Linked DNA regions of Caenorhabditis elegans. The protein of the gene in region 2 purifies or fractionates together with the protein of the main gene of each other region. This does not show direct contact. Each region holds a gene or a part of one and is shown on either strand. Other genes may lie near its edges.

Region 1 (6,264 bases), on a different chromosome or scaffold from region 2:
TGGCAATCCTGGTGGTCCTGGAGCTCCGTCATTGAAAGTACCACCCTGAAAATTGAACAATTTAATGTTTAATGTTTTCAAAACAAAATCCTACTCCTGGTGGTCCTGGTGGTCCGGAGTTACCCTTTGGCCCATCTCTTCCTGGGTATCCAGCTTCTCCCTTTTGGCCTGGAAGTCCTGGGATTCCGCCAAGTCCGTCAAGACCACGATCTCCCTTGAATCCTGGTGGTCCAGCGTTTCCTGGGCGACCTTCCTTTCCCTAAAATCAAAATCTTTAATAAAATATAGCAGGATTCGATGCTTACTCTTGGTCCAGCTGGTCCAGACAATCCCTTTTCTCCCTTCATTCCTGGGAGTCCTGGCTGTCCTGAGAGTCCTCCATTTCCTGGGTAACCGCGTTGACCTCCCTCTCCTGGCTCTCCCTGCAACACAAAACATATTAGAAACATAGAGGGGAAATTAGATGTATAGCAAAACACACACGGAAAACCAGCTATGCAGTTATTGATTCGTACTAACAGTAAACGTGTAAGTTTAAAATTTTGTTCTCTTTTCCGTTTCAAAAAATGAAAAGAGAATAAGGCAGAGCTAGAAGTAGTAGAAGTTTCCAATGCCAAATAATACAGCTATTCTAGTCTATATGAACTCTGGGAAGATCATGCAAAAGAAGCTTGAAAGGCAAGAAAGTAGAAGTAATTTGAAAAAAAGGCTTCTTTTAGAAACTGAGGCGAAAACTGTTAGAGTTAGCGTAAATAAGGCGGGTGTAAAAAATTGTAAATGGTTGGAATCGTTCAGTTAGCCTGCTCTAAGTATTCTTGCCTTCTCTCCCTTCTCTCCTAGGTCTCCCTTAGGACCGATAATGGTTCCCTTGGACATGGTGGAGGCGATTGGGCCTGGCGGACCGGCCGGTCCCATCGCACCAATGTCTCCCTAAAAAAAGAAAGAATTAATAAACAGTACCTTGTCTCCCTTTTCTCCAGGGTTTCCGCGAGGTCCGACAATTGAGCCGGATCCGGTGAACTCACGTGGTCCCGGTGGACCTGGTGGTCCGACAGAACCTAGATCTCCCTAGAATTTAGAAAATACAATAATTAAAATGATTGGAGTTCAGAATGAAAAAGCATTTCTGAAAGGGAGAAACAAAATTTCTAGAAATATCCCAAAACCCAAATAGCCCCAATTTCTCACAGGATCTCCTTTTGGTCCAATGCTTCCGATTCCTGGGTTTCCTGGGGATCCAGCCTCTCCAGGTGGTCCACGTGGTCCCTGGAATAATTAAAGAGTTAGTTTCTCGAAAACCAAAGAACAAGGTCCTACAGCATTTCCAGTATCTCCTCGGTCTCCCTTTTCTCCTGGGTATCCATCACGACCGGATGGTCCTGGAAGTCCGGGCATTCCTGGCATACCGCCATCTCCCTTCTCTCCTGGAGCACCAGCATATCCGATAGCTGGCTCTCCCTTCAAACCGTCCATTCCTGGTGGTCCGGGGAATCCTAAAAGAAATATTAAACTGGTTGTTGATCACTTCAAATTCAATATTTTCAGCAATTTATCTTGTGGTTTTTTTGCCAGCGAAACACTCATAAAACTGGGTTGGAAGCGACAGAAGTGAAAGGAACAACTGTTGGTGTAAACTGAGATGCCAGAAAAATATGTGTGTATGTGCGATGCTGCTTTTTTTAACTAGCAAAGTTTTTGCTCTAGTGTCGAGCTGTTTGCTGATTGACCGCAATGCGAAATCAGATTCCAATGAAGTTTTTTTTGTGACAGCTGGCATTAGTACTAATATACTTCTAACTGGTTAGACTTTAGCTAAAATCAACTTGTTGCAACAAGATTAAAGACAAAAGTATTATGGAATATTTAATTACAGACTAGACTTCCCTATCACAACAAAGTTTTGAAACTATTATTTTTAAAAAAGTTGTGATATTTTTGAAAACTTAAGAAAACTTGAGTGTCAGATCGTTAGATAATTGTTTAAAAATCCTCACCTGGCATTCCTGGTGGTCCTGGCCGTCCTGGGATTCCTGGAGCTCCGTCAGTTCCGTTGCAACCATCCCATCCTGGGGCTCCTGGTGGTCCTGGCTCTCCTGGTCGTCCGTTTCCACCGTCATTTCCTGGGAATCCAGGTACTCCAACGGCTCCACGATCTCCCTTGATTCCAACTGGTCCAGGGGGTCCTGCAACAACGATGACTCAGGTTAGTCAATTTTACAACATCAGCTCCTCAGGCTGTAGGGGGGGGAGCCCACTCAATTATTCTATCTTATACTGCTCCCCGCCGCGGAAGATATTGAATGAAAAGAAGAAGATAGCGGGAAGCGAGGTGACCTGGCTCCCTCCGCTTCAAAGATGATTAAAGATTTGATTGAGTGATTGAAATTTGCAAGCAAAGGGGAGCGAGATGACAAGATGATTGAAGAGCTTCACCTTTTTATCTTTATCGGAAATACAAACAACTACACTTTTCTGTACTTTTATTCCGGACACTTGCTTACATACCTTGAGCTCCTTTCAGTCCTTTTGGTCCAGCGAGTCCTTCTGGTCCTGGGAATCCACGGATTCCTTGGGTTCCAGGTGGACCTTGTGGTCCTGGTGCTCCCTGAAATTTCGACTCTTCAATAAAAGATTCCACGTCTAAAATCATTAATAGGGTCAACTAATCAGTATAAATCTTAAGGTGTTGATTTCAACAATTGCTTTGTGTGACCCCCGTTGACCCTTTCCTCCCACGTCTGACAGGGTGCCACGCTGGATGGGAGGATAGTGACAGCTGCGGAGCGCGTCTTTTGCTCGGAGAGCTCTCGAAATGTTACAATCAGTAAGAGGTGCTCAATCAATGAGCTTGTTGTGAAGATATTGGGGAGAGAGTTAACTATTCTTAAAAGTAATAAGGAGTTCGAAAAATGCACTTCTAAACAAAAAGTTACAGATTTAGAGATTTTCTTTAAAAAAAAACACGAAAATTAAACGTACCATAGATCCTTTTTCTCCGACGCAGAAACATCCTCGGTTAGAGCAATCTCTGCATGTAGCTTGCTGAAAATTATAGAAAAATATATGAATTTCAAAAAAATAAATTTTAAAAAATTTAGTTTTCAAACGTTCACTTTTTAGGCTTAACGTTTCAAATCTACTGAAAAAAATTCTAATTATAATTTGTCATACTCAAAAAAAATCAGTTTACATATTTCATTACATATTTCAACAAGTAAAAAAGTAAAAAAAAAGCTTACCGATTGAACATAGCTCACAGCTAGTAAGGCCAATATGGCCAGTCGCAACACGGGCCTGCAAAGTTAAAAATAAATAAAAAATTTAAAAAAGTTAAAATTGAATAGTACTGTTTTTTCAAAAATCAAAATTTCTGGATGGTTTAGGACTCAATGGCTAGATTCTGAAAAACGTAGTTAAAATTTCAAAAGTTGGAATATGTTCAAGAAGATTTGTTCAAAAATACAGAACAAATCAAATATGGTAAGTTGAACCAAAAAAGAGAAAGTCTTACCCGAGAGCCGCTCGTTGCTTCATGGTGGTAGGCAGCCGCTGGCTGTGAGAGCACCAGTTAGAAGAAAGGATTCAACTCTTAGTTAAGGAGGCGGGGCGTCCAAAACGATCGAAAGAAAGAGAGAGAGAGAAGGAGGGACCGCTGCTCCGTCCGTCGTCTTCCGAGGCACAGACGGCAGCAGTGCACGCTGTAATATGCGAAAGATCAAGCCGAATGCTTCGGAAGCGAAGAGGTTCGAGATGCCCGGCGTCGGATAGACAACCAACGCAAGGAATCTAGCGGAATCAATCGAGCTAAAAAAAAAGCGACACGGATTGTTACGGGAGGGACCGACCGCAACATGTGCATATGGTCAGTAGATTGATCGGGTGAAAAAGTTCAATAAGATAGATGAAAAATTGAAAAGGTACCGATAAATTATGACTTAGACCAAGTGTTTTTTGCAATTAGTTTATCATAAGCTAAAATTTAAAAAATTGTAATAACTTTCTGCAAAACTTTTCTTATTCTTTCCATGTTTATAATTGTATATGTTTACTTAATTCTGAAAGGTCAAAAGTTCAGAAGCATTACTAAACATGACTACATAGATTTCAAAAACAAAAAACACTAAATAGACTTTAATAAAGCCTAGGAATGTCAACCTTCATCTTTTCAAAAATAAAGCTATTCAGCCAGACCAAACTGTTCAAACTGAGAAATCTTCAGTGTATATGGAAATGTCCAAAATTCGGTACTCTAAATCCTTTCCAAATGCTCAATCTCTTCAATCACTCTATGTTGCTATTCACCGATCTAAATTCATCTTCTCCCCTTTCCTCTTATCAATCTGTTGACCCTCCCTTCCAAGAAAACTTTGATAAAGTGCACATAGCTGTCAGCAATTGATTGACGATAACCGATGAGCATCTGAATCAGTTTGGGATTAAGAAGTCCAAATGTAATGGGTTGAAAGTACATCTGGAAACGATTTGTGGAACAAGCAAAGACTGCAAGTTTGAAGAAAATAATGCACAAAGCACCGCATTTTTTCTAGGTAATGGTTAATTTTTGACATCAATTTCCAGCAATTTGACATGAAAATTTTGAAACCAATGCTTTAGTCATTAGTAACAATTTTTAGTGAGCATTCTAAAACTAATAGCTTGATTCTAGTACAAGTAAGCTACACGAACCTATGCAAGACACCTCATCAAAAAAGGTACATAATTTTTCTTGGTTTTGGGACATAATTTCTACTAGTTGAAAAATCAGATTTAAAAATAGTCTGTCCTTTGCAAAACTATAGTTTTCAAAGTGCTATCCTTGCCAGAAAAAATTCCTCCCTATCCTTCCTTATCACAGCTTTCCCCTTGACCACGGCAAGCCGGCACTAAGTGCCTCCTGACGCTTCGGCAACATTGTGAGTATAAAAACGACACGTCGAGGGGTCAAGTTTTTCTTCATGAAACGCACTTCAACAGCTGCTCGAAATGATGAAAATGACACCGACTAGTACTTTAAGCCGGCTGTGGTTCTAGCTCTTTTTTGCTGCAATTCGAGGGATGCCTGGCACTGTGAGCACATGTAGACCATCTGGACAAGGTCGTACATCTAAATTTTTGAAATTTAGTAAACCGGAAAAAAAACGAGATGTGTACAATTTTATTATTGTTTCAAAAGAGAAGTTCTGAAAGGAAATGCACAATAATCAACATATCAGTTTGGAAAAACCGTACAGATATTTTTCTTACAGACTCTTTCGATGTTTGGTGTCCGCCACAATGTGATGGAGGAAAGAATAAGACTAAACGCTTATTTTTGCTGTTTCATAAACATTCTTCATCCACTCTGATCAGAATTTGTATACACTTATGTGTGAGACGGGGGGAAGAAAAAGAAGATGAATCGCACATATGTGGCATTATAAAAAGTTTTGAAGAAGAAGAAGAATCCGAAGATGATGAAGATGAGCCAATTTGTTTACAGGCATCTGAAAAGTGTAAACAAAGTTTCTACACTCGATTGTCCTTTCGTGTTGCACAAAGTGCACAACTTGAGGAGCAGTTCAAGCAGTTGTTCGTCACCGAGCCTTAGGGATCGATCATCTTAGGATTACTGAGAGCAAAACATAGAGAGTAGGGTACTTGTTGGTTAATGCTTTCTGAAACGTTTTTGCGATGGTTTGGGAAATCTGGAATTGAGATCTCAGCAGGTTTTCTGAAGACAACAGGATGTTATAGAATCAAATGCAAATATTAAAAAAAAACCGTATTTTCTCAATTTTTCAATTGCCCAGAAGTGCTAAAAGTATATACGGTGGTTATTTAAAAAAAAAAATTTTAATTTTACTATATGACATTTTAATATATGGTTGTTTTATTATTTTGTGGAAAGATCCATACGGTTTTTTGTTTGAAAATTTTAAAGACTAAGTTTTAATCTAAAATTTGGGATTTTTATTCTAAATAATAGTTTATCAAACTTTTATTAAACTTAGCTTAATGTTCGTTTTTTATAAATGATTTACAGGTTTTTGACAGCGTTCTTGGTGAATAAATTGCCAATTTTGTTAATCGGTAATTTTTGGCAAAAATATATACAGTGGTCAAAATTGAGTTCAACCTATCTTGTAATACAAACAAATTCCAATTAAAATTACTTACTTAGGATACTTCATTCTGCAAAACTTTGAACAATTTACAATTTTTTTTCCAAACGTTTTGAAAACTTCTTGACTTGCACTTTGTTGGCAACATTTTTAGAGCCACAGT
Region 2 (5,665 bases):
GCAAGACGACAGTGCTCCTTGTCAATAAACTCTGTAAGAAAAAATTGGTTTGCGAAACGGGAGTTAAAACGAGGTGCACACAAAAGTAAACGAAAACAGGGAAACGAGAGGTTATTCACGTTATCTCTGCGAATCCACACAAACTGGGCGAACAGTTGTATTTTGCATCATTTTTTTAGATTATAATTCTCTTCACACTGATTCAGTGACAGTCCGTCTGATAAATAAACTGGAAAACAAGAAGAAAAGGTCATCGAAATTCAGGCATTGGTGGTGGTTGGTGGCCGATTGTTCTCATCGGTCATTTAAAATGGCAGAGGCAGTAGGAAAAGAACAACAAAATTTTACGAGAGAGCGTACAGAGCGAGGAGTGTGTTAGACAGAAGGACATTGAAGAGAAAGCCAAACGAGTAAACATGCTGTTGCGGATCGATTTTGAAAAGGGAGGCTCGCGATTTCATTTTCAAGGAGAACCAAAATCTTGTGCTCTCGTCAACTTAAGAGTTGGTGCACGAGTTTTGAAAAAAACATGGATGGATATATAGTCATTAATGAAAAATAAATAAAATGACAGTTCGTCCAAAAAATAATTGTTTTAAATGTTTCTGAAACGGAAACATCAAACTTGAAGATAGTCTGAATGATCACAGCGAACACTACTGACATTCTAACGCCAATAAGTTATATCAATTGGAAAATATAAGTTTTTGCTAGTTCTAAATGCTATTGACAGTTGCGAATAGCGCGTGTGAGGACGAATGTTTGGCGGTCAGGCGGGCGGTCACAACAAAAATTGAGAAGGGATCAGTGAGTAGAAGAATGTACATGCTTTGCAGTTTAGAACGGACAATAAAGAACATAGAATATAAAATCTACAGACGCATAAAACCTTTAAATACTTCTCCAGTTTCCGAATGGATATTTGACCAGCTTTTCTCGAATTCACCGCGATGTTCTTGACAAGTCATTTTTCAAATGAATTATAGAAGTAGAATGATATTTAGAAAATATATTTTAAGAAGTCTGGCAAAACTATGAAAACGATCAGGCTTCACTAGAGATGAGAATGATACTGGAGAAGTAAACACTACGAAGGACGCCGAACAGAAAAATAACAAGATTGTTGTTCTGAGAGAAATTGTTACGATTGAAAAAAATACTTGTTGTTAAAAAACAATTTTCGATACAGACATTAATGTCGACATTCCTTGAAGTTTAAGAAGAAGAAGTTTTTATTAATAACACACAACGAACAAGGCAATCAGCATTTTACACAAAGCATCACAGGATTAATCTAGAAAACAAAATACATGAGCAAGCAAAAGGAACTAATAAATGAAATGAAACAGAGTTTGGCATCCACATGAAAAATGATATCAGAAGAAAAATAGGGTGCATGATATAGAGGGGACAAGGAACGAATATCACAGGTATTAATCAGACGGGGAAAGTTTACGTGGTGTCAATGCAAGCATCACCTTTGGCTGATCACGGAAACTGCCGCGATGATATTGTCTCGAATTACCACGCTTCTCGGGAGTTGTTGAAGAACTATCTGAAGTGAATGGAGATCCAGGCGTACTGAACCCAGAATCGGGAGGATTTGAAGCAGGTTTGTCCTGGTGTGATTGCATGAGGGACATAACTGCATTGCGTGCTTCCTGACATTGTTCTTTGTTCTGAGCCACGATTTCTACCGGTGTAGCTCCGAATGAAGACTGGACTTCAGTGTGAACGGTAATAACGCAATTGAATTGTCTCTCGATATGCTTTTTCACTGCAGCACGATTTCCTAATATTTTTCCTACTTCCGTGGTTGGAATCTGAAACGATAAAATGTAAAAATACTTTAAAATTGACATTAATCGTACCCATTGCTTGATTTTTTCGACAACGCATGTTTTTGGTGGGGTTAAAGGAAGCTCTTGCACTGGAGAAAGCCTTGGAGGTGGAACCGAAAAATCCGATGGGAAAAGGAGGTGCTTCTCTAGGCTTGCGGAAAGAAGAGGTTCATCCATAATAGACGTCGTCGGCGGTGTCGATGTCAATATCGCGTTCGGCTCGCCCATCTGTAGAAAATAATATTAGATGTCATCTGAAACGTTATTTTCTACCGGAAACACTGAGTTCAGAAAGCTATTTGGTGGGAGGTGTGTTCGAATTTCCGGATTGTACGAATTTGCTAGAACAAAATGAGTATTAGAAGTGTGAAAATTTCAACGAACTGTAGCCCATTCGTGTGGTTCGTTGTGTAGGCGGAATATTCATTTCCAGAAGACCGAAATGTTCTGTCAAACATTCTATCATCATCTCTCTCGCTTTATTGACAGCTTGCTCAGTTCCGAACATTGTTACCTTGCCAGTGAACTGGTCAATCTGAAAAATAAAATCAGCACAGTAGTTTTAACAAGCTCACGATAATATCAGTGCAGCGGGATCTCCGTTGCAAATCAGAAGAGAAGAAGAGAACAACAGCACAGTATGCCCGTGGTAGAAGAGTATGACAAATGTGTGTACAAGATGCATTGAGGGCAGCCTCTCGTATCATACTGAAACAGGTAATTCTAAATCGTTGAGTTCAGCAGAAATTACTAACATTTGAACATCTCTCTTTCGCCATACGTCCCGTAAGATTTTTTCAATTTGATTTATGTCCACTGCGACACCATCAGCACTGCTGATCACAGAGAGATGATCGTTGATTACAACTATGGAGCATTGAAACTGTCCTTCAAGAGCTGCAACCAGAGCGCATCCTTGAGGTTCTGAAAATGATATAATACATGGTTGTTAATGTTTACAAAGCTATTCCCAACCTGCCATGAATGCCTTCATTTTTTGGGGAATATAAAGTTCTTGAGGAACAGGGTACGGCGTTGAGTCGTCCATTTTCTTTTAAAATATCGATTTAAGAAGAAGAAAAGTGCTGAAAATGTATCTTTAGAGACGATAGGAATCATAGGCCTAAAATCATACGCGCCGGTTAGAAGTTAAAGTGAGTAAGGGGATTATTTAATTTTAATTAAAAATAAAATTTATAAATTCGTGTGAACGATTAATTATGCAACACGAAACCTCTTTTTTAATCCACAGTTGAAGAAAAATAGAAAAATTCGAAAAGAAAATCTTAAAAGCAATTAAAGGAACAGGGAATATCTTCACGAGGTCTCACAACGCAAATTACCGTACTTCAAAAATTCAAACTTTTTTGAAAATAGTGTTTTTTGTTGATTGAATTTTTGTTTTTCTGAACTTGCATCCGGCCGGAACGTTAATTTCAAACGATTTCGGGTTCTGTTATAAAATAAAAGTCTAATTTTGTTCATAAGTTTTTACATGTGAACTAAGTTATTTTTGTCAACTCCGCCTATTTTAATTATTTTCGTATTCAAACATTCAGGTTTGAGTGCTATGCTTCTAAATGTTGTCTTTCAGATTCTTGATATAAGATGTCATCGAAATCGAAGTCACGAACGAAGAAAAAGCTTCGTCAACACAGTTCAAGAGGCCCAATCACTGAAATGCTCGCATCAAACATGTGTATCTTTGAGGTTTGCGTAAACTTACGTTTTCTCCTTTTTAACACTTTTATTTAAAGGCACCTCCATTCAAAGCGGAGCAGGATTTCCCGATATATCTTGCCGCCGGCTACGAAGAACGAAGAACGTTTCTCAAAGAATCTGCTTGTCTTGTGGAAACGAAACCAGACGTAGAAAATTACAGCCAGTCGCATGTTAAAGTTCTGAATAAAATCCGAAACGATCCACATCTTAATGGAAACTGGAAACTGCTCCCCAAATATGATGAGGATGTGAAAGGCACAATGATGCGAATATTGGGACAACGAGCAATGATTTCACAAGGAAGGGAACATGAAATTTCCACATGTCCGGATTCCGGCCAAGAGTGAGGAATTAATTTAATTATATTATTTTAATACATTTCTTTTCAGTGTTCCATTGCTTTCGCCGACTTATATTACTCCAAGGAAAAGAATTCGAGTAACAGAGAATCTCACTTTCAACACCTTAGATATCGTTCCTGTCTATTCTGATCTACCAGATGAAAAATTGACTTCAATTCAAATTCCCGATACTCTTCTCTTCGAATATACAGACACGAATGTTTTGAACCCGTGCTCCGCAAGAAACATTGCGAAAGCATGTATTATGTCTCAAAAGGAAGAGAATACGGTACTTTATTCTTCTTTCTTTCCCTGAAGATTATTTCTAGTCAATTGTTCAGTTATTTTATGTATTGCTAAATTTAGTTTTTCTTCAAGGTAACAACTTATTTTCTTTTTCAGATTCGTTGTGATTGTTGCTCATCGAATCCAATTGTACCATGCTACGAAAACGAAAACTGCCCGTGCTATAAATTAAACCAAAAACTGCAAGGATTACAAATAAATAGTTCCAGTCACCCTCCTACCAAATTCGTAAGTCCTTCCGTAAGAATATGAAAAAATTTTTAATAAGAAGTTCAGGCGTCGTTTGATCCAGTAATGTTCTCCAATTCGAATAGTACATTCGATAGATGTATTGGATTCTCCTGCTCTGAAGCGTGTGGCTGCAAAGGAAACTGCACCAATAACAGTTTATTAATTCTTAACAAAAAACTGTTTCCGCTCGAGATCTATCGAAGCAATGAAAACGTTGGATTTGGATTACGTTCATCTGTTCTGATTCCAGCTGGCACGGCAGTATTGGAATTTACTGGAGAAATAGTTGAGCGTAATCAACTAGATCGTGACAGTCAAGATTATGCTTATCAGCTCACAGATAAAGACAATTCGAACTGGAGGCGTCTTTTGGATACAATGAAATTCTCTGATGACTATAAAAAGTTTTTGAAGAAGTTGAGCTACGAAGAATTTTTCATTGATCCAAAAGCCAAAGGAAACGTTGGACGAATGATTTGTCATAGCTGTTCGCCGAATTTAGAAATCGTTCGTGTCTACCAGAAAGGTCTTTCACCAGCTCACGTACATCTCGTTTTCATTTCGCTGTTAAACATTTATCCAGGAACACCGGTAAGCTATTTTATAAGTCTTGATTTGGAAATTTTATACCACTATCAATCTAGCTCATAAAGTTTGTTTTTACATTTCAGCTTACAATGGACTACGGATACAACTACATGAAAAATCATCTCAATGGAAAATGCGAGTGCGGAAGTTTTGCATGTTTGAACAGAAAAAGCTCCTGTCATACAAATATGTCATTCGGAGATGTAAGTATTTTTAAATTTGCAATTTTAATATAACATTTGTTTCAGTTCGCAGCTTATTATCGCAAATTGGACCATCAACAGTGGGAAAGTTGGCACAAGAACATCTGCGAACCTCTTTCATGCAACGACGATGTAGTTGTTTTAGATTAAGTGTTTTTGAAGTTTTACCGTTTTTTTTTCTTATTTTTTACTGATTTTCTTTTTTTCGTAAATAATAAACCTTTATAAAATCTTGAATAACGTATTACGCGAATTAGATTAAATCACATTATTCAACCAACTATACGAACCCATTCGAAACGTTTTTTTTGCTAATTTCAATAAAATTGGAGTTCATATCCATATAAACCTCCGAAAAAAAGTGCCAAACGACTTTCAATCAACTCTGCCGGAGACTTCATTTGGCGGAGCAACGAATCGGACGACTCGGGCC

Evidence for each region. Proteins that work in one complex are often made in the same cells at the same time.
Region 1: the proteins of mina-1 (region 2) and let-2 purify together in Caenorhabditis elegans (affinity purification with mass spectrometry, with the first as the bait; one large-scale study listed by BioGRID). This does not show direct contact.

What each region holds. Positions count from the first base shown.
Region 1 is NC_003284.9:16,385,794-16,392,057, forward strand, and holds the start of let-2 (Collagen alpha-2(IV) chain), read right to left. Parts: upstream 3,535-6,264; coding exon 3,512-3,534; intron 3,295-3,511; coding exon 3,240-3,294; intron 3,225-3,239; exon of another isoform or gene 3,128-3,224; intron 3,043-3,127; coding exon 2,980-3,042; intron 2,839-2,979; exon of another isoform or gene 2,679-2,838; intron 2,606-2,678; coding exon 2,506-2,605; intron 2,447-2,505; exon of another isoform or gene 2,184-2,446; coding exon 1,995-2,183; intron 1,494-1,994; coding exon 1,318-1,493; intron 1,267-1,317; coding exon 1,189-1,266; intron 1,069-1,188; coding exon of another isoform or gene 961-1,068; intron 931-960; coding exon 820-930; intron 423-819; coding exon 306-422; intron 260-305; coding exon 95-259; intron 46-94; coding exon 1-45. UniProt on the Caenorhabditis elegans protein: Collagen type IV is specific for basement membranes.
Region 2 is NC_003279.8:9,515,809-9,521,473, forward strand, and holds mina-1 (Messenger RNA-binding inhibitor of apoptosis 1), read right to left. Parts: upstream 2,929-5,665; 5' UTR 2,890-2,928; coding exon 2,817-2,889; intron 2,766-2,816; coding exon 2,597-2,765; intron 2,550-2,596; coding exon 2,417-2,549; intron 2,377-2,416; coding exon 2,226-2,376; intron 2,183-2,225; coding exon 2,115-2,182; intron 2,070-2,114; coding exon 1,872-2,069; intron 1,824-1,871; coding exon 1,434-1,823; 3' UTR 1,218-1,433; downstream 1-1,217. Other genes in the region: tspo-1 (TspO/MBR family protein), read right to left, coding at 1-31, 890-968; set-32 (SET domain-containing protein), read left to right, coding at 3,450-3,551, 3,599-3,906, 3,953-4,193, 4,307-4,438, 4,487-5,032, 5,113-5,232, 5,278-5,382. UniProt on the Caenorhabditis elegans protein: RNA-binding protein which binds to its own mRNA and target mRNAs to negatively regulate gene expression to modulate apoptosis and differentiation in the germline.